3 linked regions of the Schizosaccharomyces pombe genome follow. The gene in region 1 interacts genetically with each later gene. Each region holds a gene or a part of one and is shown on either strand. Other genes may lie near its edges.

What was found.
Region 2: of sip1 (region 1) and vgl1, a mutation in one rescues a mutant of the other (synthetic rescue), as found in Schizosaccharomyces pombe (one large-scale study listed by BioGRID).
Region 3: of sip1 (region 1) and sur2, a mutation in one rescues a mutant of the other (synthetic rescue), as found in Schizosaccharomyces pombe (one large-scale study listed by BioGRID).

The regions. Positions count from the first base shown.
Region 1 is NC_003423.3:1,331,741-1,342,310, forward strand, and holds the start of sip1 (Pof6-interacting protein Sip1 AP-1 accessory protein), read left to right. Parts: upstream 1-3,970; 5' UTR 3,971-3,983; coding exon 3,984-4,230; intron 4,231-4,274; coding exon 4,275-4,353; intron 4,354-4,391; coding exon 4,392-4,440; intron 4,441-4,489; coding exon 4,490-7,942; intron 7,943-7,982; coding exon 7,983-9,198; intron 9,199-9,242; coding exon 9,243-9,402; intron 9,403-9,446; coding exon 9,447-9,597; intron 9,598-9,636; coding exon 9,637-9,838; intron 9,839-9,861; exon of another isoform or gene 9,862-9,878; coding exon 9,879-10,081; 3' UTR 10,082-10,302; coding exon of another isoform or gene 10,303-10,570. Other genes in the region: gpi13 (pig-O family ethanolamine phosphate transferase), read left to right, coding at 1-2,082; SPOM_SPBC27B12.07 (uncharacterized protein), read left to right, coding at 2,372-2,755, 2,867-3,191, 3,259-3,422; flx1 (FAD transporter), read right to left, coding at 10,303-10,570.
Region 2 is NC_003421.2:1,212,929-1,225,937, reverse strand, and holds vgl1 (vigilin), read right to left. Parts: upstream 9,066-13,009; 5' UTR 8,797-9,065; coding exon 4,921-8,796; 3' UTR 4,489-4,920; downstream 1-4,488. Other genes in the region: meiotic cohesin complex STAG protein Rec11, read left to right, coding at 1-39, 84-228, 286-1,068, 1,106-1,521, 1,565-1,850, 1,938-2,252; rei1 (ribosome biogenesis protein), read left to right, coding at 2,931-4,322; Hsk1-Dfp1 kinase complex regulatory subunit Dfp1, read right to left, coding at 9,855-11,492; Swr1 actin-like protein Arp6, read right to left, coding at 12,582-13,009. UniProt on the Schizosaccharomyces pombe protein: Required for cell survival under thermal stress.
Region 3 is NC_003423.3:3,566,627-3,576,583, forward strand, and holds sur2 (sphingosine hydroxylase/sphingolipid delta-4 desaturase Sur2), read right to left. Parts: upstream 5,971-9,957; 5' UTR 5,636-5,970; coding exon 4,754-5,635; 3' UTR 4,223-4,753; downstream 1-4,222. Other genes in the region: cem1 (3-oxoacyl-[acyl-carrier-protein]-synthase condensing enzyme), read right to left, coding at 1-203, 241-561; pfh1 (DNA repair and recombination protein), read right to left, coding at 1,104-2,266, 2,308-3,562; SPOM_SPBC887.16 (uncharacterized protein), read left to right, coding at 8,295-8,624; SPOM_SPBC887.17 (transmembrane transporter), read left to right, coding at 9,406-9,957. UniProt on the Schizosaccharomyces pombe protein: Required for hydroxylation of C-4 in the sphingoid moiety of ceramide. Involved in the response to syringomycin.

The sequences.
Region 1 (10,570 bases):
TATATAAAAGATGCCAACTTTGATGTCCTAATAGCACACTACTTGGGCGTTGACCACGTTGGTCACCGCTTGGGACCTGATCATCCAACAATGCGAGATAAACTGAATCAAATGGACAGGTGTGTGAAAGAAATGATGGATCTACTGGATGATAGTACATTACTCATTGTCATGGGAGATCATGGTATGGACAACAAAGGAAATCACGGTGGTGATTCATTCGATGAAATTAACTCTGTACTGTGGATGTATAGCAAAAAGCCAACCTTTGGCTATTTGAAACAACCAGGTAAAGTACTAAGTGCAAATCAGGTAGATCTAGTTCCTACCTTAAGTTTGCTCTTAGGAAATCCCATTCCGTATGGCAACCTTGGTACCTTAATTCCAGAACCTTTTTACTACTATGGAGATGAATATTTGTCGAAAGCCCAAAAGATTAATATCGGTCAACTCAATCGCTTCTTTAGCGAGTATGATTTAGATGCTTCTGACTTCCTTTCGTCCTCTGTCCATAAAAATAATAACTCTTATTTAGATCAATACTTTTTAGACTTTGACTATGCAAGAGACGCATTCTCTTACTTTAAAGCAATTTGGGCGGAGTTTAGTCTTTTCCCTATGATCATTGGATTTTTACTTCTTATTATAGGTGGATTTAACTTGGCTTTGTTGATGCAAGATAAGTCGGTGATTTTTAGGATGTCTGCCAATATGGCTCCATCAGTCATGAAATGTTTGCCGGTTTGCTTAATTTTAATTTTGGCAAACAACGAACTTCATTCTCCGTTCCCGGCGGAATTCTATGTATTACTTCCTTCATTTTACATCCTGTTAAATTCCTTTAATCAGAAGTTGATGGAGTACTTTAAAGGTTTTGTCAAGTTGGACTACTTTAGTATTTTTATAACTTTTCTACACGTTTGCAGTTTTGGTTCCAACTCTTTTACAGTATGGGAAGATCGCCTTTGTCACTTCTTGATCATCACTATTGGACTAGTTATGTTTTGCAAATGCTTTTCCGAAATGAGCCCCCTTTTTGCATGCTCTACTTACTCTGCATTGGCATTTATCCTTTTACAGGTAATTTCTTCGTACGTAACTAACTGTCGCGAAGAGCAAGGTGCGTTTTGTGTTAGCACGTACATCTCAACTCCTGATAACAGCCTCAGAACCTTGATTGTTTTGGCGTTAATGGCTCTTTCTTCTATTATATTGCCTCTCATTCTGCAACTTCACTTGCGACGCGTTCTTGGCCTTTCTTTAAAACTTTATCATCTTTCAATCCTCTATTTTTTCGAGTTAATATCTTCAATATTTTGGATTGCTCATCATGTTTTCGCGAATGATGCTTTATTAGAAAAGCAGTATCATCATGTTTTATACTCACTTGCAAATACTTACGTAATTTGCATTCTTGGTGTTTTGATATGGCAATTCTTCTTACTGTCGCGATCCAAGTTTGCTAAAATAAATGTCATCGAAAGATCATATTTCGTTTTTGCATTACTATATTCTTTTCTCTCATTTTTGCAAAGGCCCCTGGGACATCTCTCTTTATTTTCTTGCTTTTTACAAATCCTGCTTCTTATTCAACTTAAACAATGGCAGCCAAGTGTTGGTCACAACTTCTTTTCGGTAACGCTAGGTTTATTGGGATTGTCGCATTTTTTTACAACGGGAAATCAGGCTGCTATATCGTCTCTTGATTGGAATTTTGCATTCATTCATTCAAAATCTGCTGAAAACCAGGCTATAAGCGCTATATTCATGTTTTTGCATACGGTCGGTGCGCCGATACTTACTTGCATTTCGATTCCACTATTTTCATTCGAACCACTTTCCAAGAAAAATAGATTCTTGATAAACTTGTTTCGATTCTCCTTTTCTTTCATTCTTTATAACCTATTGATCTCGACGAGTACTGTCTTCTTTGCTGGATTTTTTCGTCGCCATTTGATGGTTTGGAAAGTGTTTGCACCTCGGTTTATGCTAAGTGGAATATTACTTGTTACTCATCAGCTCTTTGTCCTGATCCAATGCTTCGGAAGTTCTGTTGTCAAATTTCCTGAAGATGCTGAATAACAATAAAGCTTCACTGCCCTCGTTCAATTTGACGTATAATTAGAATTGTAGAAATATTTTCTTTTATATCCTTTAACATTTTAAACCTTATAAGGAAATAATCAAAACCACTTATCAATGCATTTTCATCATTATTATTTTCTATGGGTACACCCATACTACTCCTTTACGCCTTCTGATATGTACATTTAACATTCACCACAATCATCGTACCCAATTTTTAACAAAAATTAATTATGTCTGTTAATAAGTTGCTTAATTTATAATCAAAATTTGGTAGCTTGACAAAATGTTCTCTTTGCTACGAAAAGCTATAGATGTTAATCGATCCCGAATTACCTTGCATGGGATTAAAGTGCATAGTATCAATACTTTTCGTTTAATTCCTTATTCTTTATCCTTAACGAAGCAAATTCGATTTTATGCATCAGAAGGGACAGATGCAGGTGAAATGGAAAAGGGTCTTTCAGTAGTAAATGCCAATCACGAAAATCGTCCTTTCAGAGACCTTGAAGGATATCACTTCAACACATTTACATTTTTGAAAACTTTAATGGATAAAGGATATACAGAAAAAGAGGCCGAGGGTCTTCTCGAAGTCACGAATATGTTTGTTACTGATATGCTGCGACATAGTCATCTCAATTACCTGTCTGAAGCTGATTTTGAAAATGTACGTATGATTTATTAAGCTACAGAATCCTTCCGTCTTTAAATTTATCTTTAATTATAGATTGACGGTTTTTTTTGCTTTCAAATGAACTGTCATAGCTAACTTGTATAGTGCTCCTATTTGTTTCGTACAGCTTTGTCGGAGCTTCGCTCAGAGAAAATAAATATGAGAAAAGATCAAATCAGTTCGTTACGTTCAGGCTTGTTTTCAAACCAAAGGGAAGTAGAAAGTTTGGAACAATTGGTTCACGAGCAGTTAAACAAGCTTAATACCGAAAGCAAAATGGAGTTTGAAAATCGGAAAAATGATACAAAGAATGAAGTCCAGCAATTGAGTGCAAGAATTGTTGAACTACACAATTTATTAGCCGTTTCGTTAGGTAAATTGAGGGCTGAAAATGAGAGGCAGAAATGGGACCAAATAAGAAAAGCAGCAGGTAAGTATATTTATAGTTCAAACTAGGTATTTGAAATTTCATTTATTAATTTCCTTTTCTTTTTCAGGTGTGGTGATGGCTTTTACAGGGTTTTTAGTGCTGGTTATTCCATTTGGACTTGGAGTACGAAGCAGAAAAAAAGAAAAACAAGATGAGCTTGATAATTTAGGTTCATTTAATTTAGATAACAAGCGCGATGATTATACTGATACTAATCTCTCCCATATGTGAGTTATGGCCAGCAAAGCATTTCGAGCTCTTCATTAATATCTGTCCTTTCTTTTTTTTTGTGTTTTCTTCTTTGTTTATGAAAATGTTCAATTAGGTTTTATGGAAATATGCAAATATTAAGTTTTATTAGTACTCCTTCTGATCATGAGACCCCTTGTTCTTATTGTACATGGAAATACCATTATGAATAGCATAATAATTGTTTGCATTGCAGATGCTCATACTAGCGTTGAGCTGTGATTTTTGCCTTCTCAGACAAAATTTTTGTCCATTTCAAAACTAAATCTATAAATGACTTTTCGTTGTTTTATTTAATTTTAAAATTAACGATACTCGGAATGGCTATTGCATTCTAGTAGTCTCCTACAATTTAAAACATCTTTGTGTTCGTGGTTGATAAGTAAAGTGGTTAATTATAATGATAATAATAAATATATTATCTATAGACTATTTGATTATTAATTTATTGTAAATCGTGTAAATGTCGACTGCAGATTTCAGTACCTCGCAACTCAATGTATATAGATTTAGCCTAGGGAAATTGGTTTGGCCGCTCCACATATGTCGTTAGCATCATTGCCGCTCGAAAAGTTGACGAAAGTAGCTGATGTAGATAAGAGGGAGACCATATATATTGATTTACTCAATTACGAAAAACAATTGAGGAATCTGAACAAAAATACTCGCGAGGATTCATTACAAACTAATTTAAATCCCCTACTTTCGTTAATCAAAAAATATGGAAATTTTATTGCTTATCCAACTAGAAAACTTCTTTCTAACTGTATAATTGCACTCTTAAAAGGACGTATGTGAGATTTATGGAAAATGGTATATGTTAACAAGTATTAGTCGAGGGTTATCATCAGCATCGAGTTTTACTTTACTTCGTGGATAGCATTCATGAGAAAAAAGACTATATAGAGATTATGTATGTCTAGAATATTTGAAATATCAACTAACCGGTAGTAACGTTTTATCCGTTCTGACTTCTTGCTTGGAAGAATATGGAAATCAGGTATTACTCTTTTGGATATTTTCTATAAACTTATAATTAACCTTAATAGATCAATCAGCAAGAGACTTTTATAAGATTTTTCTTCAAATATTCGAAAACCAATTTGTCATATGGAGTTCGCTCAATCGCATTAGATGGACTGTCGAAATGCATTGAAACATCTATTCAGTCTACGAATGAAGATTTGATAAAAGAAATATGGAAATGTATTAAATCAAATTTAAACACTTCATCAACGAATGTTCTTTTATCTGCACTTCGTTGCGCTTACTACATTCTGGGCTCTTCACGTCTTCGTAATTCAGAATTGGAATGGTTCAAATCTTTTCTATTTAAAAAATCATCAATTGATAATTCTTTGCTCCATTCTTCTTTAGGAAGATGCTTTTCTGCACTTGCAAGTGCTCAAGCTGACAAATCGATTGAAGCCGCTGCAAACGCAGTACCCTCAACTCCAGCGGATGATGAGAACAATGAGGAAGTAGAAAATCGGTCTACTACTCGCCGTTTTGATGAAACTGAGAGTTTTCGTCACGCCCTACGGATTCTTGTCGAAAATTATCACTCCAAGCATGCAAAGTATGAAAGCTCAAAAGCGGTTCTTGTTTTTGCCGTTAAGCATCTTTTTCTAATGCAACGTCCATCCTTTGTTTCTCTCAACTACACTACTATAGTGGATATTATTCTATTACACCAATCACACTCTACTTCAAAAGAATGGTTGTCTTCGTTGGAGCAATATCATTGTACATACTTGTTTCGCGATGTGATTGGAAGGCGATTTCTCGATCAAAGCTCTGAATTGCAGGGAATTGAAATACTTTTAAAGAGAGTGTTAGAGCCTTATTTAAAAGATCAGTCGAAGATTTCGGAAATTGCTGTTAAGACTGCGATGGCTTCCACCGCTGATATATTAAGCCGATCAAAGGGTTCGGCTACTGCTTTATATAGTCAGTTACTAGATACTACACTACAGATTCTATACTTGGGTAAAGATTCATTGAAGAATGAAGTAGCCTGGTTGCTGCGCTGTTTACTATCCGTTATGCCTTCTCCTTTAATGCCCACTTTGCTTGCTCTTTTTAATAGATTAGAGTTGGAATTTAAGCACCTTCGTTCTAAACCTAAGGAAGTAAGTCCCAAATTGAATGTTGGTATTTTCAATAATCTTACTTTGTCGTTGATGTCGATTTATGTTGCCGCCGAAGAAAATCCTCTATATGTTGCTTCTTCTATATTTTCAAAGTTATTTAACTTCTCTTTGGATTTGATTAAGTCATCATCTAAATTGGATTTATTAGCGGCACAAGCACAAATCAAGACTGGTTGGCGACTATTAAGCGCTTACGTTTCTTTTGGTCCTTCTTTTACTAGAATGCAATTGTCCCAATTGCTAATTTTATGGAAGAATGCCCTTTCCAGAGTACCTTCAAAAATACATTCACAAAATTTCATGGAGACAAATGCAGACATGTTTAATCGGTTTGAAGCGTTACAGTGCTTGCTTTCGTTTTTGGAGTATAACAAGATTTTATTCACACCTGATGTTAGGAAGCGAGTCATTATTTTCCTAAATAACTGCCTTAAATTCTACAAAGCTTTTTCGTTAACCAAAAGGCTTGAAATTACCATGCCAATTCCCGCTTCAGATTATTCTCACTTGGAACTTCGCTCTCTCTTGCTTGCTCGGATTTTCCAATGTTTCTTCGAGTTGTCTCAGTTAAGTGGAATGAGTTTAGATGATCAAGAATTACTATCCACGACTGTGTCTACTATAGCCGAACTTTCTTCTTTACAAGGATATGATACTGCGGACGAAATAGTTCAAGCGAAAGCCTTTACTTCTCCAAGAGTTATACCTGGAATTGGTTCACGATTTTACGCTCAGCCAGAGGAAGAATTTCAAACAACCATGGATGATATACTTCCTTGTTATATTTGCGAGTCATCTTCTGATTCCCTGTCAGTGATTTCGAGATCAAACTCTGCAAAACTTCCTTACGTACCCCCGTCTTTAACTTCTTTAATTGATAACGCGATCCAGTTATTTGCGTCTATGTTTTGTCATCAACCTCCGAAGGTTATGGAGAGCACTCTCGAAATTATGGTAGCGTCTGTGACAAACCTCAAGAGTGGGAGAGATATTTTACGTTACAAGGCAGTAACAGCAAATACTTTATTTTCCATTTATGGATTTCTCTCTGCTTTCGATAACAAAAAAGTTACCTTGCCTGACAAGGTTGTATCCCTTATGATAGAATTGCTCGAAAACTTGACTGCTGTTAACGATCCGAAGTTAATTCCTTACATTTCGAAATCTTATGCGTTTTTGGCATATTTATATCAAAGCAAACCGACGTCCGTTTTGGATACAATAATTAAACGTGCTGCAGAGTCGGGAGATCCAAATTGCAGGGCTGTCTTGATTCTAGCCGTTGGCCATATATTAAAAAAGGTTGGTTCCGGAGTTCCCCAAACTACCCTCATCACCGCTTATCAGCTGCTCAAAGTTTTTAATACTGATTCGAATGACCTTGTTAGAGAGTGTTCTATTCGTGCTTCTTCCGTTTCTCTTGGGTCTATCGCAAAGACCATTCCGAGTGTTTTAACTGCCCAGACACGCATTTTATTGAGCTATATGCTATTGCCAGAATGTGATATTGATGTTCAGCTCTTAAAGAAGAGAAACAGTTTATTTTTCCCGTCCACTCTTTTTGCCAATTACTTGGATTGTTTGATAAATGAGCTTGGACCAAACTTGCGATCCGATTCTTCTACTTCGCATTTCGCATTCGATTTAGCTCACCAATTGCTTTTACTTAGTAGAGATACGGGAGATAACATTATACACGTTTACAAATGTTATCAGCACCTATATCTATTTACACCATTAGAAACCAATTCTGATTTCTTCATTAGGGAGCTTTGTGGTAACATAATTGACCTAAAGCAACCTAAACGTAGGGAAATTTCTATTGAAGTTTTATACCAAATATTGCTTCAAAACCATGAGTTCTCGGAATCATGTTATAAGCGACATTTTGATAGGCTTATTTGGCAATCACTCGACACCACTCCTGACAACAAGCTTTTGAAGAACATACTGTATATCTGGCTAAACGATTACAAAGATTCGGACATACACTCATGGGTAAATATTTTACTTTTTCTTGTCGGCATAAAAAATACTTCGAGTTCTGAAAGATCCAACGAACAAGATATACAAAACAACCTAGATGAAGATACCGTATCTTTGGCTTATGGAACTTCCGAAAACGCAAGTAATCCATTATTCCAGAAGAATTACCGTTGGCAGACGCAGTTTTATGCAGCTACATGCCTTAAAACATGTATCTCTGAAGTGATGGCCGAAAATAAAGAGCCCGCAAAATACTTGATTTCTAGGATATCTGACCTAGTCCGTGCTGCTTTTGTTTTGTCTACTTCAGACAACTTTTACTTGAAGCAGGGGGGTTTTGAACTTTTGGATACTATCATAACGGTAAGGATAATCTAAAGGAAACTCGCTAACAATTTTTTAGGACTTTTCGAATGTTATGGATCCTGACTTTGACGATGTTTCTCTTTTGGACCAATTTCAAGCTCAAATCAGCTCTGCTTTTAGTTCCGCGTTTGTAGATGATTCATCTCCTGAAATAGTAGCCATGTCTCTTAATATAGCTTCCAATTTTATTGGAACTGGACTTCTAAAAACCGAATCGCAAGCAGCTAAAATCCTCAATTTATTGAAAGAAGCGTTGGAATCTAGTTTACCAGAGAGGGCTGGATTTGAGGAAAATCGTCACTTTAAGTATGACTCGAAATATTTTCTTCGTATTGCTACTTTATCAGCTTGGGCTTCTTTGCTGGTACATTCAGCGAATGTGTCATATTTGAAAGAATTTCTTTCCTCTAACATCCGAAGGCTATCTTCGCATTGGATTATGGCTTTAAGAGGATATTCCAGATTGCAATTTGGTCCTAGTTTAGTAAAAGATTTTGTAGCTGATACCTCTTTCACTCGGGTCCAAAGTATAAACCCTAAAATACTTCTCAATATTTATGAGAAATCTTGGCTGAACATCGCAGAGTCATTAACAATATTACTTTCTACTGATGCAAATCTGATTTATGGAATATTAAGTGGAGATGAGCTGTCGCTTTCTGAGGAGGACGTATTCTTCCAAGACAACATAAATTATGCTTCCAACAGGTACTCTTTTAACTTTTTTTTGTTTAGTGTCTGCTTCCAATCTCTCTTAATTCCAAGCACTTTGCAAGGCTTTAGAAATCCAGTTTTCAGAATTATGCGAATTATGACTGAAGTTTTAACTGAAGAATTATGTACCAAGGTTCTTTATGACCATAATGTGTTCCCCGAAGTTGTTGATCTTTTAGTTCGTTTGATTTTGACGGAGGATTGGGAAACGAAGGCTAGTATTGTCATTTTTGTGAAAAAGTTAGCTCTTGCTAACCCGGCACACAATGACTTGAAGTTTTGTGAAACAGATTCTGTAACATCTATGGAGCCTACTGTATCAGAAAGCGTCGAAATGCTTTTTCAATTGGTCAAAATATTGACATTAGCTTTAACGGTTAGAGTGCCGGGCCTACGTTCTGATCCAGCTGAATCAGCTACCAATAAAAAAGCTAGTGAATTTGTTATTTTGTGTTTTAATGCATTTCTTGATGTTTCCAACATTTTCCCCGCTATTGTGCGTGTTGATTTATTTGCGACAGCAATGCATGTTTATGAAGGTAAGTCCTAAAAATAAACGAATAATTTCATGCTAACTGTCTAGTCATTATGGACGATCAACAACTATTAAAAAATTCTAAGCAAGAGTTGTTAGCTGCTCTTAGAAAGTTGTTGAGTACAATGGTTGAGCAAAATGATCACACATGTACAACTTTGATATACACTCTTTTTGAACACCTCCTTAACATCTACAAAGAAACGATGTAAGTTTTGATTGCCACCTGTACTATTACTAACCTTAAAAAAGTAATGATAGTGATAAAAAGGAGAAAAACGAAACTGCTTTTATGAGCATGGTCCTTGTACTTACTCTTGCAGCTCCTATATTAGACAGTGAGCAGCTTGTGGTACACGATTTTTTGGAAGAACTATTCTCTTCCTTGAAGAGCTCAGAAGAGGTTTGTTAGGAATTTTGGAAGGTTTACATTAACATATAGGACTTTGCTTTAAGAACTCGTTGTGTAACATCGCTGATGTTAGTTAACAGTAAACACCCAAGCATGAGCGCTCTTTGCCGTTTCATTATTTACAAATCGGTTACGATGCTACAGAACGGTGAAGTTCTGAAAAGTGGTGATTATGTCACGGAGTTTATACCTGCATTGCTTGATATGCATGTCCATATTCCGGAGGAGAAGAGTAAGTGTATTATTTAATATTATTTTATTCTAACTTTTAGAAAAATCATTTTTAAGCATGTCTATTCCGATAGCTGCACATTTTAGTATCCTCGTCGAGCACGCTGACGCACGAAAAAGAATCGGTGAAAAACTGCTGAAGATTATGGCTATTCAGCCAGATGAGGCCAAAGCAATCATTCAACAACTTTCTCCTAGGCAAAAAAAATGCGTTGAAGAGATCTTAATACAAAATGTTGAGTAATGTTTATACTGCGAATTTTCTTATATTTTTATACCTTTACTATTAATTATAAATAAATAAACACTTTTTTGATGCCCTTGCCTAAAAGAAAATAATATCGCAACCTTAAAGAATGACTGGATTTAAATGTGATACTAGAAACCTAACAGATTTTCCCTCCTTTTCTCTTTCTTAAACATAATACAGATAAATGCCAAACCCAGATGCTTTTTACAAACCGATTATTGAGACTTTGAAGACTGTGTTTTAAAATGCATTCCAACTTGCTCATAAACCAAAAATGTAATGCATGTTTGAGGGACGACTCGAAGTAAGTGCGGTAAAAATCCTTTGTAGAAACCAAGAATTCCTTGCAATCTCCAAGTTTGAAGAACCAAATTCATTATAGAACGGTGTGGAGAACGCATCACTTGTAACCGTGTCCTAATCACCAACAGTGGATACATGTTTACAGCCGCAAAAACTTTAGAAGCTGCTGACATAAATATA
Region 2 (13,009 bases), on another chromosome or scaffold:
ATCTAGGTTCATTGACATGATTCACGACATTTGTGATAGGTTGGCAATACTACTTTTCTTAACGACTCTAACCTTTTTACTAGTGTACTATTCTCAAGGATTCATGATATACGTGCAAGCATTCGTATAGTGTGTGTTACTGCTCTATATGATTGTTGCCAATTGCTTCCCACCTATCTTATAAACAGAAATTTGATTAGACATTCTGGCTGGGGGTTATCTGATGCAGTAAGTGTATAAACAATCGCTACTGCTGTATCATTTAAATACTAACTGAACGTATAGGAATCACAAATCCGAAAAATCTCCTTAAAAATAATAGATTATCTTTCTTCTCATGAACCTGAAAAAGATCAAGATTTTGTGGTTGATTTTCTTGACAGATTCTCGTTAAGAATTGTGGAGATATGTCGGTACGATATTGATTCTGTTCGATCTGTTGCCCTCAAGACATGCGAGAAACTGATGGAGAAAATATCGTTGAATGGAAAATGTATCAATATTGTTTCTAGCTGCATATTTGACGGGAAGCCCCAGAATCGAATCTCGACAATGCGAATCCTCGTTGCCCATACTAATGAACGCTACGCAAATTATTGTGAAGCAAAGACTGCAACAATCAGCTTATCAAAGCTCTTAAGGCGTGAAAAAATCCCATTGTTAGTTTCCAGCTTTGAAAGCCTATTCAAAATGAATGCGTTATTATTCATACTTGAGCAAGGATTTGAATCTTGGTTCCGTGATAGCAGCGATCACATCTTTTCGCGTGTGAAAGACGATGACAAATTTGTATATCAGTCGCAGGAGAATAACTTTTATGATGCGGATTTCATACGAGAATATGATATGAATAATCATAGGCAGCAATTAATTGAGGAAAGCATGCATTCCATTCATACAAACTCACAATTACTTGCCAGTTGGGAGGATGTTGCAAAGCTCTTGCTTTATGATCGCTTTGATGCAAAAGATACTAACAGTGTCTTAAACCCCTGTATACCGAGCAACGCAGTGATAGAATTTTCTTCTATCTATCTCCATTATTTTGCAACACATATTAGCAAAAGAGTAAGTTATTTAAAGCTTCATATTACTAAACCTCTAGTCGAAGAAGCCAGGTAAAAGACTTGAAGATGAGGTCGTAAACCAACAGCAAGCAATGTTACGAAACCTTCCATTACTATTACAGAAATACAGAGAATCTTGTGTTTCATCATACTTTTTTATAAAATGCGTAGAGCAAATTCCTGACGAGCTTCTTTATAAGAGAGAATTTCATAAGGACTTTTCAAAGTTGTATAAAGAAATACTGGATATATTTAATTCAACTACCGTTAACTTCCTGATGATTTTGTGCAGCAGATTCTTCCACCGATTGGCGGTCAACAAAGTTGTACAGGAAGATATATTATTTGCCATTGACAATGTATATAATGATTTAGCAGAAAGTTTACACGAGCAACTCAATGCATACATTCAAAGAAAAAAAATAAACAAAAAAAATCAGTTGAATGGCAATGAGTAAGGATTTTTCTTTTTGTTATTAGATTGCTAACTTTACAAGTGAAACGCAAAACTTGGTTTTAGCTTTAAATAAGTTTGGATGCTTTGCAAAGGAAATGGTCTGTCTGCGAGACGTCAATGATTGGAACATTAAACTGTCAGAAAAATTATGCGAAATTTGTAGTCTTGAAGTCGGTCCTATCGTCTGTTATTCTTCTTTGAAAGTTTTATTTCTTCTTCTGCTTTCTGATATGAGAGATAGAAACTGTATTTTTACAAATATATTTTTAAAAGCAGCTAAGGTTGCGAAGCAAAAAAATGGAAACTCCTTTTTAAGCAAAGTTTTCGTAAGTCTCTAATGTTGCTGTCTATCTATCTTTTATGACTGTTGATTTCAATCACATTTAGTGGAGTAAAATGCTAACTATAAGCAGATTACAATTACGATGCTTACATTGTTTCTTGGATCAAAGGCAAATAATTGGGATATAAATTTTAGTGACGATGACTTGAAATTGATGAATGAAGAAGAAATCATGGAACAAATTGAAACTTTTAAAGCATGGTCAATGAAATTTAAAGAGAAATCATCTGGAAACCCTTCTTACTTTTTTTCACCCGAAGATACTGAGGAGAAGGAATTATGGAATAATCTGTTTGAGGATTGGTATCCCAATCGTGCTAGAGATCCTGGAACACTGAGTCATTTAGTGAAAGGTTTAAAAGAAACAGCTGACCATTTATCATAAAACGAAATTTTAACACTAATTAAACCCCGAGGGAAAAGAGATAAGAAAGCACATGTGCTAACTTTCTTATTGAGGCAAGGAAACTTATTAAACAAAAGGAAAAGACATTAAACTCTATTATGTATTTCCTATATGATTATTCCAACGAAACTAACTCAAAAATACCTCAATTTCAAATACTCAATTTTAATTAAACCCTGAAGAGTGGGAGCTCGTGTGCTCGCTAAAACTACAATGCATGCCATTTCTTTCTTTCCAGCCCTTTGTCTATATATGAGTTTTCTTAGGACTTACTGGTTAATCAAAAGGTACGCCTTATGTTACTAAGCAATAGAAAATGTTTTTGAGGGATGCATAAATTAAGTTTAAAAAAACAAGACATTAAGATGTTTAACATATCAATTAATTTTATTTGATTTCAATAAAATTGATAATTATTTGACACTTTAAAATAATTTGGTGGTGCTACAAGTTATGTAGGCAATAGTTGATCGTAGGCAAGTTGGATTCAACCAACACCTTTTTGTGCAAGGTATTGTAAAAAAGGGTTGACTTCATCTCATTAAGTTAGTTTGAGTCAAAGAATATATTTGAGGAAAGACTCGGCTTCAATATCAATTTTTTTTTCGATAAAAAAGTGTACTGGCTAAGAATTGAATTACTTGACAGAATACCGAAATGTCGACTTCTTTTGCTTGCACGACTTGTACTGTGGCTTTCAATAATGCAGAATCACAGAAAATACATTGGAAGTCTGACTGGCATCATTATAATCTGAAGAGAAAGGTTGCTAGCTTGCCGCCGTTGAGTGCTGAGGTGTTTGCTGGAAAGATTTTGTCCATTCAAAAGCAGAACGAGGAAGTCCAGAAAAAAGCAGAATTTTATCAAAACTGTGAAGTATGTAATAAAAAGTTTTATTCAGAAGGCGCCTATTCATCACATATGGCTTCGAAGAAGCATCGCGATAACTTGAGCAAATTTCAAAGAAACAGCCGTATTAAGAAACTTCAAAGTGAAGATGCAAGTAGTATTGCTTCTTCAACCTTGTCAATGGGTGAACCTGTAGTTGATAGCGAAATTGAGGAAGAAGAAGATTTAGCTTCACAACTGACATCAAGGGCGATATCCCTTTCCAACTTATCTCTTCATGGTCGAGAAAGTGAACCCTCTAAAACTGAATTGGCTACTTCCATACCTCAATCGAACGAAGCTTCCAAGTCTCATCTATTTACACAAGAACCAACTCCTGAAGAAATTGAAGCTGAACTTGCTCGTCGAAGTAGTCAACGTCTTTCACCAAGAGATTGCCTGTTTTGCGCAGCCTCTTTTTCTTCATTTGATACATGCAAGAAGCATATGAAGGCTTCTCATAGCTTGTACATTCCTGAGCGGGAATATTTGGTAGATGAACCAAGTCTATTCGATTATTTAGCAGAGAAAATTTCTATCGGCTTTACTTGCCTTACCTGCAATCGTGAATTTAAATCACTAGAAGCTGTTCGTGCCCATATGCAGCAAAAGGGGCATACCTCTATTGCCTATGATACAGAAGATGAACAGCTTGAACTCTCTGATTTTTATGATTTTACTACATCGTATCCTGACTATGCAGTAAAGCAAGACGAAACTGTCGTAGAAGAAGATGGAAGCTCTGGTGAAGGAGACTGGGAAGATGTTTCTGATGATTCAGATAACTCCAGCTTAGATAGTCTTGAAATGGGTCGTGTACCCATTGCTGACGAATATGAACTTCATTTACCCTCTGGTAATCGTGTGGGCCATCGTTCGTTATCTCGCTACTTCCGCCAAAATCTTCACTCTAGTTCTACCGCTGTAGGAGATGGTGCTTCTATTCATCAGAACGTCGCCAGACGTGCGATGAGTGGTAATGCCCGAGCTTATAGACAAGCTGTTGAAACAAGTATAGCTGGTGTTCGCGATGGCCGTAAGAATTATAGTGCCTCTCATATCAAATCATTCCAAGACCAAAGAAGAAGAGAGGAATTTGCTAACAAGATGGGTATTAAGAATAACACAAAAAAGCATTTCCGCGATGCGCTTCTTCAATAGTCTATTTATTGTACGAGGCCTTTTGTTTCTTTCATTATATACTTCATACTCCACATTCTTTCGTCTCATATTTCTCCTTACTTCCGGTGTTCTTTATTTTGGGGTTTTCTGGGTTTTTTTAACTTATTTACGCTATTTGGAAAAAAAAAACGTCCTAATATGGTTCTTCTTTTGAGAAATGGTTAAATTTTAGCTCGTTGTTTGTAAATTTATAATATTCTTTTACTAAAACTTGTTGTGTCCTATCTGTCGTACAATGCTTATTTTCTCATAAAAAATCATAGATTTCAACTATTCTAGTTTCTTGAATTATCTATACATTCCAATGTTTATATCTGAAAAGATTGAATAAATGCACTAGGTACGCCTTTTTCCTATGCGTCTATATTTGTAATATTAAACAAAGGCAATGTAACAAAGCAAAGAAGGAATCAATAAGGAAAATGCTCGATTCAAGCAATTTCCGTCTCCTTAAAAAATGACATGTAGTAATAAAAGAGCGACAAAATGATATTTCGTACACATAATTTTCAAATACACTCTCAAAAAAATTTGAGAAATGAATGTAAGTACTAAATAAAGGCTCCAAAATTTTACCTTACTCTTGATTTTGGTTTTCTTGAAGTCTCTCGAAAATCAGATCTTTAGCCTTGACAACGCCAGCTCGACTTCCTTGGACTACTACAATTTCATCGCCTGGAGTACGAGGAACATCAATTTTAACTTGGGCGATCTTTCGGATCTTATTAATAATAGAGCCACCAGAACCGATTATACGACGGTGCAAGTTCGTTGGGATACCCAAGTAAGCAATACAATTTTCCATAACTTGCTTGATAGATTTTTCCAATGAAGCGATAGCCTTTTCAACATTTTCCTTATGTCCTCGAACAGCCCACTCAGATGAAGAAGAACCAGTGTAGTCGTGAGTTACCAGTTTCCAAGGGAAAACGCCATCCTCGTGGTCTTCAAGAACAACCTCCGTGGGTTGTACAGGCTTGATCTCGGGGGTATCAACAAACACTTTGAGATCGGATCGAAGCTTTTTCATTAAAATACCTTTCATTATACTTTCATAGACCGTATCGGGAACTGTAATCATCTGGGTATATTGACTGGCAACCTTCTCTTGAATCATTTCCTTGGCTTTTTCACAATTCTCCGGACTTCCGACGATTGTAATAGTGACAGTCTCTTCAGGGTCAAGAACATTCGGGATGTTGAGCATGGTAGACGTTTTCCTTTCGATGTCACGACGAGTGGAGCCCATTCTTCCAATGATTGAGCTTATACATCTCTGCGGGACTTCAATCTTCTCTTCGACTTGGTTCTTCAGCTCTTCAACTATCTCCAATAATCGGGTCTCAAGGGCTTCAACGATTTCCTTGTCGCCTCTCAATACAACAGAATTCCTCTCCTCTTCGGAATTTCCATTGGAGAAACTAATCAGACGAGCAGTCTCGGTTTTATCAGTTGATCCACCGCACTCTTTGATGGTATTTTGCAGTTTGCTTCCGTTGGGTCCAATTAAGTAGCGATGATACTCACGATCAATTTTTATAACTTTCTCGACAAGATTCTTGACTTCCTCTGCAATGGCTGAAATCTCTTTAATGGCATTTTCGACATCAGCCTTAGCACCACGTACCGATACGGGTGTAGTTTCTTCAGTTGAAACGTCACCTATGTCTATTTTAACATCAAATTGAGTTCTGATGTTTTCCACAGTAGAACCGTTACGACCAACGACCCGTGAAACCGCCTTTGAAGGGATGTCAATCGTCGAAGTATAAGCAATCGATTTTTCATACTCGTAAAGCTCCAAGAGCTCTTGCTTGGCTGCAGCTACAGATTTTTTACCACCACGAATAACAACTTCGTCAGGAGAGGTCGGTTTCATCAGCTCATTACCGGTAGAATTGGAAGAATCGTCTTCACGTGGAAAACGAACGCGAACCGAGAATTTTTCCTCCAAACGACGAACGTATTTCCCATTAGAACCGATTAATTGACGGTGAAAGTCATTGGGAATGTTAACTCGTAAAATAGTGTCATCAATAAGTGCTTCAATTTGGGACTTAATACGTGCAGCTGTTTCTTCAACGTTTTTCTTTATACCTTGGATTCGAATATGGCCCTCTTCTACGTTGATTTGTACACCAAGGTCTTCACGCAGAGAAGAAACATTACTACCGTTCTTGCCAATAACGTTCTTAGAGTATTGAGCAGGGAAATCGAACTCTTCGACATGAGAATGAAGGATTTCGTGGTTCTTGGCATCACGAACAACTTGTTTAATTTCACTAACAACGCGTTCGACATCTTTGGAAAAACCACGGATATAGACATCATCGTCCGTAGAATCCGGACGATACGACACTTTACCAAGTTGGACGATTACATTTTCTTCAGATTTACCAATTATAGCGTTCAGCGTAGTGCCTTTGGGACCAACAATATGCTTGTGGTACACGGAGGGAACCTGGATTATTTCAGACACAATTTTAGCAGATGCTTCAGCTGATGACTTAACTGACTCGGCCAAATCAGCGAGTTCTTTCTGAATTTGGTCAGGCGACTTTCCATCATCAGCTCCAATATAACAGACAATGACATCAGGATCTTCTTCACCGTATTCTCCCACCAAAAGCTCTACCTGATGCTCATTTCTGAGCTTCTGGAGATTCTTACCCTTGGAACCAATAACATATCTTTGAAGAAGCGGATCAATTGTTACCTTGTAAAACTTGCTCTCCGGAAATTGATTAACAAGGGCGAGAAGTTTAGCACGTCCCTCACGGACAGCTTCCTGTGATTTACCAGAAATCTCAATTATGACTGTTTTATTGGAATTTGACTGAAGCTCCTCACGCTTTGGTAAGTGATATTGTACGGCACATTCTTCTTCTAATGGAATCAATTTCCTCGAACGAAGGAACAAACGAGCTACTATGCTAGCAATATCAAAGGGGTTTTTAGAGGATGCATATGCTGTTGTGATATTTACAGCGTCAACAATAGTAGAGTTTGCACGTTCAAGAGTTAAACGGATACCTTCACTGATGTTTAAGGCAGGGCCACGGACACTAACGACATCAGAATCGCCATTAATAGGAGGCAAAATGACGGAACATCCGGATTTTCTCAAAATATCCTGGATACCAACCCCCTTCTCTCCGTTAATGAAACGGTGTTGACGACGAGGAATAGGTAGCATTGTGGGGATGGTAGTACGAAGAAGTTCCTCAGCTTGACCTTGAAGATACAAAGCACATTCGCGTACAGCTGATTTTTCACCAGACAAAACAATGGGATTGACAGGGGCAGAAGGATCTAAATATGCAAAAGGAATTTGAACCTTCAAATCCCTACCCTCTTCAAGCTCTTTAATATTTTTACCGTCTGGGCCCCTAAGAAGACTGTATAACTCAGTAGAAATGTGACTGATACGAACAGTAGTGTTACTGGTTCTTTCGTTGATGATAGCTTCAATATCCTTTTGGGCAAGTTCAACACCTTCGAAATCGCCCTCAATAGTAATCGTAGTCATTTCATATTGGGGTTCCAAATCGTCGAGGGTAGAAGCAGCTGAATTTTCCTCCTTTTCAGGTTTCTTGGCATCATCAGAGGACTCGTTTGCGGTGTTGTTACGCTTGGGAATTTGAATGCGTGTTGAAGTGCGATCCATAATAGACTTTAAGTTTTGTCCATTAGTACCAATTATAGCCCCAACAACAAAAACAGGACAGGGCATAGTTTTCGTTTCACGACGACCAATCAATTTCAAAATTTGGCGTCTAGCCGCTTTGACAGCAGAAGTCTTTCCTTGAATTAAAAACGTGGTATTCTTAGTTTTTGATGCAGTAGAAACATTAATACGTGTAGAGGTCTGATGCATGACAGTACGAACAATTTCAGCAACAGAATTAGGCTTTCCCACGAAAGACATACGAGGAGCTTGATTATCAGGGCTTAAAATCAAAGTTTCCGTAACAAAATCAGTTTCTTTTACCGAAGAAAGAGTTGATTTTGTAGAAGATGCACGAGAGCTAGCAGAGAACGGAATCTTGTCTCTGGAAACTGAATCAGAACCAGCAACGCTAGTATTGGAAGCTGTCTTTCTGACCCACGAAACAATCCTTGGCTTGCTGGGACCAGTTTTAGAAAGAAGTGTAGGAAATGCATCCTCAGAATGGACGTCAATGGCAGGTTTTTTGGAAAATGATTTCGAATTGTTTTGCTTCTTTCCTTGCTGAGCATTTTCATGCTTTTGCTGTAATATAGCAGAAGGAGTCAATCCAAACGAGGAACCAGCAGCAGATGAAGCAGCGCTTAATAGTCCATTTGTGCTGGCACTTTTGCTACCAGAAGGAACCTGAGATTCAGTTCCTTGCAAGTTTTCATCGTTAGTCAGTTTCTGAAAATCATATGAGTCCATCGTTGTTGGTTGCTCAAGATTAGAGAGATGTTCCATTAGGCAAGGTCCCGAAAGTGTATACAATAAAGATTTTTACGTGAGAAAACAAAAATATATAAGCTTCCAAACGTTCTTCCCCGCTTAACTCAACCTCGTTTTATTTACTTTTTTATACAACGTCGTTCGTTCACCAAATTTAAAGTGTTTAGGTTACTACTAAGTACAGTAAATAGCCTGCGTAAAAAGTTGACGCTACAGTAACAAAATAGAGTAAATCGCAAACAAAGAAAGCGAAGTAGCGTTGACTACTGGTGTCTGTTTAGGGCAGGTTAATTTATGGTAAGATTACCTGTGATTTCGCACGCGCAGACGACGAAAACTAGCACACATCGTTAACACGCTTTAAACGCATATACAGGGCGGAGAGCCGGGTACAGTAAAACGCTGATTTTATACTTTCAGCAATTAAGAAAATATGTCTATAAAATAAAAAATGCTATTTATTTCTACAGTCAGAAAAATAAATGAGAACTCATGATATATTATGAGTAATCCGAAATTTAAAAAAAAAAAATCTCAGACGTATCCTTGCACGTACGCCTGAATTTGTTAATTAATCGATTAAAAAGCAAATTTAAATTAACTGATTGTAATTCATTTATGATATGTTATTTAAATATACAATTGATAAGATTTTTTTCTCGCTATTAAGAGTGAAAGTAGACGAGTTGTCAGACAAGTAACCGGTTCTAAAAAATCTAAAACGTTATAAAATGTCCTTTATTAAGCAAGAATCATTTTGCTCAGCCAGGTAGTAATTCATAAGCAACGATGACTAACTTCCCCAATAAACTATTAATGAATAACACTTTGTTCAATAGATAACTTGGGATACTGGTAAATCAGAAAATAAACCGTGAAACTTTTTGATATAACAACTATTAGAAGTATACATGTAAAATGAAGAGGAAGATAAAAAAAGAAAGGTAAATAGCACATACATAGATGTAATTAAATCCCGAGAAACTGCATAAGGAGGTGTACACAATACGCATGCACGATCGTATATTAGTGAAAAGTGAATGTGCCAAAATTTGAAGACACGGGCTATTTTCTCAATCTGGCCTTAAGGGACGTTGAACAAGGGCAAACAGTTCATCAAGGTCTTTAAAATTATCGTTATTCTCGGCAAACCTTCGATGCCTACTGCTGCGGATATGAGATTCAAAATTATCAAATTTCTCCCGACAATTTTCACAATAGCCAGGTTTCGCATCTACACGAATTTTCCGTTGACTCGTGTTGTGAAGCATCGCTTTATAAGAGTAGTCCTTGCCAATCATGCCAGACTTTTGCTGAATAATACGCTTTTTCAACTCTGCGATATCTCTCCCATTAATTGTTACCACCGGAACACTAGCAGCACTACCGGAGCGAATAGCAGAATTATTGGACATTGCAGCAGAAGTCAAGTTTGACTGTACTATACCCGATGCTTGCATACCGTCATCCAAACAGTGATGACAATTTGTCCTTATAGAAGGGGATGTATCTTGGGTAATTCCAGAAATGGCAGTTTGAGGGGTGTTGTTGATATTGGTGTTATAAGTGGTATTTGTGTTCATTCCAGAGATCCCGGTGTTGGATATATCAGGCAAGGAAGCTTTCATCGAATTCGCACGAAGAATCAGCGATGGTTCTTGACTCTGTCGTTGCAATAATTGCTGGTCATTTTTAGCAACCAAGGACTTGGAAGTACTGAGACGATACTTTGTTTCAGGTACAAATGGACACCGGCCAATACTAGTAGCACGAAAGGTCGGCCAAGGAACGTCCCTGTCGGGAAGCGGTTTTTGCCATTCACGTAAGAGTATAGGTTTGTAAATGTTAGCTATGTCATGCACGTAAAGGTAGGGTCCACGAAAATGCACAAAGTCCTGTCTAGGAACAGATAAATCGCGTTCGTTCGTTCCTTGCACCTTTTCTACGTAAAGCAAATAACTCAAGTCATTCCCCTGTTTGGTGGGTGCGTTGGTTGTGCATTGATCATTCTCCATTAAAGTTTTTAACACGCGGTTGCAAAGCTTTTCCATAGACCAAATCTTCATGTTCAGTTGCCTAGCCTTAGTGATTACATCCTGTTTAGCATACTTAACCGAAACATCTTGGATAGCCCGAACTGTTGCAACATGAGTAACATTTCCTGAGAAGAACGTCTCAACATGTCCACCCAATTGCTGAATTTGTTTTTTCACTCGATGAGCAACACTTGGGTCGCATCCATCCAAATAAAAACGGAAATGAGGAAATGCCTTCTTGTACTGTCTTTTCCATTCCTGTAACCGAGCCTTTTGAGAGGAATTCTTAGATCCCAAAACTTTCCCAGCTGCCATGGATTCCGCCTTCGACTCAGTATCAGCATTAATGGGGGCCAGCCCCTTCATGACAGGAATATCCTCATTTTGAGGAGCATCATGTTTAATCCGTTTTACGGACTTGCGATATGATTTAGGGGTAATAACAGTTTGATGTTTAGGGGTGGTTGTGATAATATTTTCGTTATTAACAACCTCAAAATCGGTTTTCACTTCTCCTTCATCTTCCCTGTTGTCTTTCCAAGTTATAATTTCCTCCCTTTGTGCTTCGTTTGTCTTTTCCTCAATTCGATATTCCTTTTGTTTGGATACGGCATCATGTTTCGGGAGTACTATATTCGCAGATCGAGGAGCTAGAGGACATCTTCCTAGGTTCATGTGGTACAGCCACCTTACTAAATTAGTGTATTTGATTTTTCCTCTTAATGAGAGCCTAGCTTGGGATTAATTCTCTTTGTTTACTTTCGCAAAAGACAATATTAGTGTTTGGTGGTGGTCAACTCGAGATTACTGCAATTTGGCCAACTTTTACAGCTTAAAGTAACGATTCAATTGGGTAACATCTATGAAGAAAATATAAAATATCTGTACATATTTATATTATTAAAGTAAATTTATATCATTTAATCAACTTTTACTTTTATATTTAAGGCTTTACTGTTGAAAATGTGAGGGAAAATATATGTAGCCCATGAACAAGGCTCAACAGAAATAATTTGGGATCTCGATTCTTCTTATTACACAGTTTTCCTTTACTGAATTATATGATTAACTTGAGAAAAAGAACAATTTATCCAACAGAAGCAACAAAATTTCACGAAAAGCTCTTTCTATCCAAAATGTAAACAGACGCGACACGACTACATTGCAACGCAACGCGCTACATTCTAATTAAAGTAGTATACCGTGACTGCTCTAACTCAAGGTTGCTTTAACTCTTATACTGTCAACCTGAAACTGCACTGTACATATAAAATGCACTTGAAACAGTAGTGAAGAAGTGCTGAAATTTTTCTTTTTTTTCAATCTTGTTTTTCAGGCACATTAATAATATGTAAGTATAAACACTTGAAGAGATAGAATGTTACATATGATGCTTTACAAATCGATTAGTCTTGAAGACACAACTATGTGGTTAAATTTTTATACTTGTATACTGATTTTCATTCCTATCTTTTTTATAATATCTTTCATTTCGCTAACGCTTTTTAGGTATGAATTATCCTGGCGACAATAATAAAGATATAGTTATTTAGCTGTTGTTTTAGTGGTTGATCAAGAGATAGAATGATTCGTTAATTAATATAAAAAGATTTTATTCTTAATGCATGCATATTTTTCGTTTTATATTGCTGTAGCCTTAATGTAATAAACCAATTTCTTAAGATGCGAATTATCAGCTCGCCTTGAGAATTTTGTGAAGATAGAAATTTAACCCACATTATTGAGTTTTAAAATGGTGATCTATTATATTCTCCTTTTTCGTGTCATTATGTTTGCTCCATGTTCTGAGTACTCAGAACGAGTTATTTTATTCGCATTCCAGTGCTCCAACGGCATATGAGATGCCTTTTTCCATGGAAAGCAAATAGGATCTGAAGGTTCAAAAACTTTAACTTCCCAATTAGCTGGTGCCAGCGACCGTAATTCAGATGATAGTCTTTTATGAAATCCGGGAAATTTACAGTTTCCTCCTATTGTAACAACATTTTCAAGCAACATTGCCTGTATATTTTCAGGAAAGTGGGTGACACTTTGCATGACCGCCTCTGGAATCCCAGCCTCACGTATTTCGATATCAGATGGGGAAAATAATAATTCTGGTATCATGAATCTCTCATTTGAAAGATTCAAAACTTGTTGCTCTATTTTTTGATTAATATCTCTAACAATAT
Region 3 (9,957 bases), 2.2 Mb from region 1:
TGACAACCTGCTGCACATGCTGTAGTTGTTGTGTGATTTAAGGCAGTAAAACCATATCTTTGTGAAATATACCCTGCTGGCATATTAATTAGTATTTTAGAAATGACCCTCGGTGAAACTTTTCTTATTCCAGCCTTATTTAATACACCGTTTTCATTTAAAGCATCGTCAAGATTTCCTATGCCAGTTCCAAAGCAAACTCCCTTTTTTGTTAGTATACAGTTTTCTGGATTCACATACCGTTGCTAGCTTTTCTTGTTCATCTATGTCAATCCACCTTGCATCTTTTAATGCTTCAGCTGCAGAAGTGAGAGCTAACTGGGTAAAAGTAGCTACTTCACGTAATTTCCCTTGGTCAACGTAGTCTAATACATTCCACTCTTCCTTTTCTTTTCCCCTTGGTATCACTCCAGCAACTTTGCTTGGTATTTGCTCATACTCAGGAAATCCTTTAAGAGATACGATACCTGATTTTCCTTGAATTAGATTTCGCCAATTGGTTTTAACTCCATTGCCTAGAGGGGTTACGGCCCCCAGTCCAGTTATTACCACACGTTTCATTTTTCTAGCATTACTTTGTGGAAATAATAATAGATTATCTGTCGTTTCTTTCGACAGGGTATTTGAGGCGAGAATTTAACAGTATATAAATCGATCAAAACTGTGTTTATGTTATCGATTTCAAAGTTCTGATTGAAAGTGGATTAAATGTTCAGTTTTTATGCATGGTCAAGGTGTGTTGGCTATTAAAGTTAAGAGACTGATTGAAGCGAGGTGCACCCTGTTCGTTTAATTACAGTTTATGCGATAGTTAAAGATTACTAGAAGGTGGCCTTGTAACAATTACTTCCTGTACATAATTAAACATCCTCAAGGAATACCGCTGTTATAGAAATGAATTAGCACCATAGGAAAAATAATAATAAATGTAAAGCTCAAATTTAATAAACAAAGAAGAAATTAAATATATGAATATATTATTAAAATTATTTCTATGAATAAAATTACCTAATTAGTCTAAAATCACTGTACACTTCAACCATATATATTCAGGCCGTTATGAATAAATCTTTAGTACATGGTAAACTCGTAAAAATTGATTTTTACTTATTTTTGACTCCCCTCATTTGAACTGGAGCCTTGTTTTCATTACGTATCGGCAAACCATTAACAGAAGCCAGTTGTTTATAGAATTGCACGACTTTGGGGTGTGCCATCACCTTCGCAGGCGAAAAATTAAGAACCTGGAGACCTTCTTGAGTAGTTGCACGAGATAAGGCAACATACGCTTGCCCTTTCTCAAAAACACGACCCAAATCAACCTTGACTCGATCCAAAGTCTGTCCTTGTGCCTTGTGAATAGATATCGCATAAGCCAAAATAAGAGGAATTTGGCTTCTAGAAGCTTGAACCTCACCATTGGGAAGCTCAATATTCCAAGTTTCCCGTTGTACAACAATTGTACGTTCACCTCCATTTGGAAGTTTAAAACGAACTAATGGCCATTTTATTGCCGTGGATGAAGCTTTACGCATTGCAATCAATTTATATTTCTTTTGCTTAACGTCTGGAAGATCAAAGGGTGAAATGTCTAAACTATCATATTCAAAAGCATTTCTTCCCTGCATTTCAGCATCCTTTTTTTCCATTTGATAGGTCTCATCATCTATGAAACCTATAACTTTTCCAAGAGATCCATTTACTAACTGATCATCTATATTCTTTATAAGCATTACCTGAGCATTTACCTTTAACACTAAAGTGGCAGGAGCCATGCACCCTTGCAGTAATCGGTCACGAAATTCTTTATCTCGAACAGTACCCGAGTCAATAGCGGTAAACGTGACAGGATTTTGATTAATTTGTTGCATACGCATATCGTTCGAACGCTCAACCTCATAACGTGTGGGAAATAACTCTGTCGGAAGAAGCCCATCTTCATATTCAATCGTTCTATTAAGAACTTTGAATTTTCTAACCGATTCATCAGATAATTTCCCGAGGCGCAATTCATTAAGCATTTTGACAAATTCCTCATCCTTTTGCCGAAAAACGTGAGTCAATCCTATTGTAAAATCAAGTGCGCTTTTCCATGTCTGAGATTCGAAACAGAATTTCGATTCTTTCCCATTTTCTGGAACAGGAGGTAACTGAAAAAAATCCCCAGTTAAAACCAACTGAATTCCACCAAATGGCTTACTATCTTTGCGAATAACACGCGCAACCTCTTCTAACTTGTCCATTAATTCAGCATCGACCATAGAAACTATAGTTATTAGTAAATATAAACTCACTTAAATTGTTTACCTTCATCAATGATCAAAACTCTGGTGCGCAACCAACGATTAACACACTTCTTATTTTTCTTTATTTTAGATACCAGGAGGTCGACAGATTCACGAGCAAGGCCTACCCCAGCAAAGGAGTGAAGTGTTACACCGCCGATATTACAGGCTGCCAAGCCTGTAGAAGCGGTAACAGCAACTCTGTCAGATTGCTTTCTATATTTAGATTTTAGGACTTCAATTATTTTTCGGAGGAGAACAGATTTACCTGTTCCAGCAGAGCCCGTAAAAAATATACTGTGTTGTTGCTCAACAACCATGTCTAAAATTCTTTTTTGCTCATCGGAAAGGAATATGCTAGGGACAGATTTTTTACGAGAATCACTTGTCTTAAACAAAGAAGATCCTATTGGCGATTTGGAAGCAGAGTTTAAAGGAACAGAAAATTTTTTAGATATCTGTGGGGTAGACTTAGATTTACTCATGCGTTTTTTAGCCAGACTATCCAAAGAACTGCTTCGTCCATTGCTAAGCTTATTTGAAGAATCATTAGATACAGTGTGTTGACTGATATCAGCTGAAGTGCTGGTTCTTTTAGGATCAGGATCTCCATATCTGTAAGGATCCACTGCCCAAGGAAGGGTTCGTGAGCGTTTTATTCCCTGCCTCGTAATATTACTAGATATTACGCTACTTGCGCCTTTTTCAGAAGTATGGTCTTCGTAAATTTTTGAGAGATGATTTTTTGACCGCTTTTCGCTCGAGAGCATTGATTTAGTTAACTTAGTATGCTCGATAGGGGATGAAGACCAAGGAATTGGTTTTTGGTCAATATCGTTTTCTAAAAGTAGATCATCATCAAAGTCATTTTCATCAATATAGACGCCATTCGCTATTTCAGTGGAGTATTTACTACCCAAGCCAGAATTTTCAAAAACGGGCAGTGAGGGTTTCGAAACATCGAATCCCACGGTGTTATCAAGTTGTTTTAAGCTAGCAGCAGAACGACCTCTTTTGGCTGGTAGGGTTATTGGAGATGACGGAAGGTTATCAGACTGGCTAGAAAATGTTTGCTGATCATCATTAGTAGAGGAGCGAGAGGAATTGAAGTTTAAAGAAGCGGACGAAAAACCGCCCAATTTGTTCAAGGAGGGTTGATGCGATGACTCGTTTTGTGTATGAAGCAAGCTGCTTTTCTGCTGAGCTCTTTGAAACATGACGGGGATACGTTTCCTAAAAGAGTGACTAAATTTATAAAGAGATTGGCACGAAAACATTCATCGAATTACTTCAAGAAACTGGAAGGCGATCTGTACGCAGGTTGTCTAAAAAAAGAAACCGTAAACGAAATAGATCACCCAAAATTGTTTGATCGAAGAAAAGCAACAAGAAAACAATTTCAGTTTGAATTTAAACAACAATCTGCTACTGACTTATGCGACCTCGACCTAACACCTATGATAAGCGGTCCAAGCACATAAGAGTTGGAAGTATCCCTTTGTTGATTGTATTAATTGGGATACCGGTTGAAGAAATTTGTCAATGTCGAGGAAACGGCTGTTGACAAGGAGGTACAGAAATGAAAGCGCTATACTAATAAAAATCAAATTTACGGTGGTAGTGGACGAGACAAATGAAAGCGCGTATGTCAAGACGCGTCACGTCTGTCACCACCAGGCACGTGTTTTTTACTTCACAACTTTTGCACAAATTTTTTATCATTCAATACTGTAATTATCATAAAGTCCTTTTTACATTAGTCGTTCCTTAAGTATAACTTGCATAATTTGCTTTCGGGGCCTATGCAATGCAATGCAAATAAATTGACTTTTGTTATAATATGTTACAATCGAAGCAAATATTAACCCGTGTTTACAGTAAGTTATTAATTTTATAATATTTGATAAAACGCGTCTACGATACCATATCCTCGGAAGTCTGTAAATAATAAATGCTATCAATTAATAAATTATATACTGTATGTAGACTAAAACAATCAATACTAAGTCGAAAATTCAATAATGAGCGACAAACGATTTAAATTCGTTGACCAACCAACTTTGGTAAAGATACACAAAAACATGCATCTTTAGGTAAGTATCGTGTTCTTCAGCAGTCCGTGTCAAACATCCCGTTTTAAAGAGACTTTAGAAGTGGAAAATAACATAAAAATACAAGGTTACGGTTATCACAAATACCTAGAGTCATAGGAGGGATAACTTCAACAGTAAGGATTGCCAATCGATTTGTACTACCGACAAATTTAAAAGGAAGAACAATTAGATTAATAAAATTTCAAAAAAAATGAAAATAGCAAACAAAGAAACTAGAAAGAATGAGAAAAAATTAATAGTAAACATTTATAACTCAATATAAAAAAAACAGTATATTGGATTCAGCAGAAGTACTAAGGATAAGAAAGATTCAAAAAATGCAAATATCACAGAGCACATGTACTTTTGTAATTTCTAGTTAACCTTCTTTGCATTCTTAGCCTTTTGCTTTTTCTCGTAAGGAGTTTCAGACTTGGGAGGCATGTAAGTTCCCAAAACGTGGTCCCAGAAGGTAAAGAAGGGCTGGCTAAAGTTCTTTTGGAAACCGTAAGGTTGGTGATGAAGGTCATGGTAACGAGCATTATTGGCAAAGAACATTTGAAGAGGGTCATAAGGGAATACGTATCCACAGTGATCATCAACAGTCTTCAAGGTAGAAAGGGTGAAGAAAATAACAGCTTGTTGAGGAGAAAGACCGGCGGCGAGATAAGCAACACCAGCGCCAAAAGTGTCCAAAATCAAACCTTCAAAGGGATGGTTGTAAAGGGCACCCATAGCATAGGGAACTTGGAGACGATGGTGATGGGCATGAATCATGTTGTAGAGCTTCTTGTTGTAGTGGAGGTAACGGTGCCAGAAGTATTGCCAGCTGTCAATGATGAAGAAAGCAAAGAAGTATTGGAATGCGGGAACAATAAAGTTATAAGCCAATTTAGGGGCAAAGGGAGCAACTTGTAACAAAGCAGGCAAATTCTTGCTGAAGAAAGCCTCGTAGCGTAACATTTGCTTAGCCTCGTCAATGGGTTCAGGATAGCCCTCGAACATGGCCAATGCGATTCCAACGACGACTTCGCAAAGTTGTTGGAAAAGCACGGCTTTAACAACAGCCATCTGAGGAACACGGTTGCGTCTGGCTATCTCCTCCGGAGGATGAATGCGATACTTCTCAAAGACAGGTAATTCAATGTAATGCAAAAATCCGAAGAAAGCAGAAGCAACCCAGTAAATGATGACAGGAGAAACCAAGGAAACGGTCACTGGGTTCCAGGTAGTTAACATTTCAACGGTGGTAACCATAGTGGCAAGAAAAATTCAAATTCGAAAATATAGCAAAAAGTTAAGTGAAAGTGTAAGAAAAGAGAGAAGCTGATTAGTTATATATATGCGAATATATATCTATGTGTCTAGACTGAAGAAAGAAAACAGTTGGTACAATATATACAAATCACAAACGGCAAGAAATGTGATTTATACAAACAATTGAAAAACGATGAAACCAATAAGGAACCTTTTAAAACAACAAGTAATAAAAAGGATATTTAAACGAAACAAACCTCTTTATTTGTTCGATTTTCAATAATTTGTCTTTGGGAAAAACAAACTATCAAACACAACGATTGTGGCGGAGGTTCGGTGAGCTAGTTTGCGATGGTGACAATTTATATAATGCAAAGCAAAGTTTAAGGTACAAGCTTTGCGCGGCTGTCTTTGTCGATTTACCGATTTAAGCAGCGAGATGTAGTTAATTTTTAAGAAACGGAACTTTCGCCAACGAAAAAATCCGAAATTGATCAGTATGGACCAACAAAATTAAATTGATAAATTATATCGATCTGTCTCAAGGGAGAAGGGAAGGCGAGAACAAAAGTAATAACCGTCGGTGTTTTTAGACACAAATGGAATTACAGATAAATTAGAAACTTGCAAGTTTTCAAGTTTGAACACTAAAAGATGTCAAAAAATTGAGACGTATTGTATTCGGCAATAACAAGACCTTGTTATTTTAACAACCAAAAACTAAGTGCCTACAATAATTTGCAATTGAAACTATTACAAGAAGGGATTAAAGATTAAGCTAGATTGCTTGACCCTAAAGTTGTGAAAGACTTTTTGAAAAGTAGAGGAATTGGATGTTTTTGAACTGCGGAATGCAGGTTAAAACTGCGATATATATATTTTGCTGGTGTTCTTGAAAACACGAGATTTTTTTACAAATCGTATCATCTCATTGTAGGCAAAATCTGATGTTTTTTTTTTGCTGGTAACATGTGATGTAGCGGATCTAAACTACACTACACTATATTAGAGCGGGAAGCAAATATATCTCGCTATAATTGTTAGGGACTAAAAAATGTGGCTACAAGTCGTAGCATTCAACGGAAGCTTTTTGTTACTTTTTACTCCCTTTGATACTGGGATTTTTTTAAACTATCGGAAGGGTTAAAGTTGTACATTCCGCTGAACACAGATAGTAAAAAAAATCGTTTGACAAAAAAAAAAAAATTTGTTTTCCGTTTTTTGTTTGGAATCCGTCTAGGTCGTTAGTAATTTAACAATTTCAGCGAAAGACAGCAATTGAATGGGTTTTAATTTTCGGTACAAAGAGAATTGACTTTTTATGAAGCGACTACGAAGGACACTTGATATTGCTATTTTCAACAAAAAATAACATAATGTCGATAATTAAACTACCACGGCTTGTAAATAGAAAATAGCACTGAAGCGACCTGTGAAATTGTCAGCGTGCTATTGCTAAACAATGATTCCGTGTAATTTTATATGATTGTGCTTTCATAACAGATGTGCATGCGTAGAAAGAAAAGCTATAAACAATCAACATAGAATACCATTCACACTAGGAGTAGCATACCTTAAACTCATAGGATCCAATGAATTAACTTGCAAATCCATTTAATAGTTAGATTGACTGATTTGTACCAAATTGGTAAAATGCCGGTCCCCATCCCCTCTAAAAAAAGGACTCTTTTATTTACCGGGATGCCATTGACATCTCTTCTGTTTTGCATGTTTTGGAATTGAAAATGCAATAATAAAAAGGAATCAATAATTTTGGATTCCTGTCTAATAATTGACGGTTTTGTTATCTTGGTTGAAAAATCCATCCCAGCTGCCTAAAAGCTGCTACAACCTTTGTTTAATTAGTGCGACACAGTTAAAAATACTATATGTTTCGTAATACAGTGGATGATTTCCATTAAACTTTTGACTAGATCAGCAGCGATTTTTAAAGTACATTATACCTTAGCCGGCTAAAAACATATGGATTTGGAAAAACTACTAATGAATGTATTAAGAGTGAACATTACAGTCGGGTGCTTTGCAGTACAAATATCCTGGTAGCTGCATTAAGAAAAAGATATAGTAAAGCTGTTAGTACAAAAAAAAAAGTAGTAAATAATAATATAATAAAATAACGCTTGATAGTCTTTTAAGAATTTCATTTTTCGAATACCGCCTTGTGAATTATGCGTAGTTTACTTGTATCTATATCGTTTCAAATTTTCATACTTCAAGGATTTCCCTAAATGAATTCTTGAATCCCCCACTGAAGTCTTTTTATCCCACTTTAATTTCATACCACAGTTAAAATCATTTGCTAACCTTCTATAGCATATAAACTTATGTACCCCCAGTAAGGTCTTTTTCCCCACTTTAACTTTTAGTATTAGCTGCACCTACCAGCATATGTCCCCCACATGTGTTTTTCTTTTTACTATGAAGGTTCAATAATGGGGGTATTCAAGTCAAAATAATCTTGTATCTGTACCGTCAGAGAAAACTCACCAAACGAACGAGCACAAGTATTAAATCTATAATCACTTACCTTAATGATTTCGTTTACTTTAATTATCTTATAATTGCATGAATTTTGATAAGCGATTGCAAAAACGAACAAATGTGATATAAATATGTTTGTATAGGTGATATCTTAAACATGGCTCGGACCAATTTACAATATCCTTACAAAGTCCTGTGGTGTGCTCAAGTTAAAGTCGTTAAAACGGGTTTAATTAATTTTTTTGCTCCTAGCATTCAGCGTCAACGTGAGAGAGTATGTGAGGGTTATCTACATGAAACCCCCCTGTTACTAATGCAAGTAGTAGAAAGAGAAGCAATAACTTTAGCAAAGACAGAATTCAAAAATAGTTTTAGTAATCTTCATTTTTTCTTTCTTTTTTGGCTGCTTAATTTCATTTTATTTTTCAGAATACATTTGTATTCTTGCAATTTTCGCATGTCGATTATTTGTGAAGAATACTACTAATGTTATCATTGTTACTTTTAAGAATTTTTTATATCTTTGGAGTAGGTTATTGGCAGTGGAATTTTGAGTTTATCTCATTTTTTGAAGTAGCGAAATTGACGCAGTATCTGATAGCACAGCTATTGGCTGTTAAATATAAGCGCCCAAATTTGACTAGTATTTAACAGTCCTTGGGTCCATCAGCGACACTTTGCATTTTTTACAAACTTTTTTCTAAACACCAATTTCTATTTCTTTGCAGTAATAAAGAGGTCCTGGACTGAAAACTCACTGTTGTACTTAATTAGGTGTAGGTTTGCATCCAGTTGATAAGGATTATAAAGTTTTTTCAATCTTCACGTTGAGATCGAGATTCATCGCTTAGCAGAAAATTTTTAGATTAGTGGTAGGTCGAAAAGGTTCTGGATTTTAGAAAACGGCTTTGATCAAACAACTTTAAAGATTAGATTGCTTTTATCTCGATCTTTGTTTACAATTTCATCAAAAGTTTTTTAAATTGCTTTTACTGTTTTTGAGGTTTGGAAGCAAAATCGGTTTCTTTCCTTGTGGGTTTTGGGATTTCTCTAATATTTGTATCTTTAATAAGTAATCTATTTTTGTGAAAAGGGCTTTTTGCTTAGCATTAACACGGATCTTTCCGTTGATTTGTTGTGTTTTATTTATCCTCGGCAGGTTATTTGGATACCTAGTGTAATATATATACATATATTATAAGTATTCTCGTTTTTATTGTTTTAATATTTCAATCCTCTTTTCTTTTTTTCCTTAGTTTATCGAGAAGATGAGCATCACACAAAAAGTAAGGAATTGGGTCGAAGAGTTCGACGTGATCGTCGCTCGTTCGGCATTCGGACGTTGGTTTCGTCTAGAGGGATGTGGTCATCCTCGGGAGCGTAAAGGCAGTCGCTTTTCTCTCGAAATTAGTGCTGGTCTTACTACCTTTTTTGCAATGGCTTACATTTTGGCTGTCAATGCTACCATTCTCGTAGATACGGGCGGCACTTGCGAATGTACTGAAGCTAATCGTGATGATTGTGACAAACTTGATGACTATGTACTTTGCAAAGAAGACTTTCATCGTGATCTCGTCACAGCCACCGCTGCCATTTCTGCTCTCGCTTCTTTCTGCATGGGTCTTTTTGCCAATATGCCCGTGGGTATGGCCCCTGGTATGGGTTTAAATGCTTATTTTGCGTACCAAGTTGTCGGATATAATGGCACTGGACGTGTTTCCTATCGAGAAGCTCTTTTAGCTGTTTTTGTTGAAGGATTCATCTTTACTGGTTTAACTGTTATAGGTCTACGCCAATGGCTGGCGCGAGTTATTCCTGCC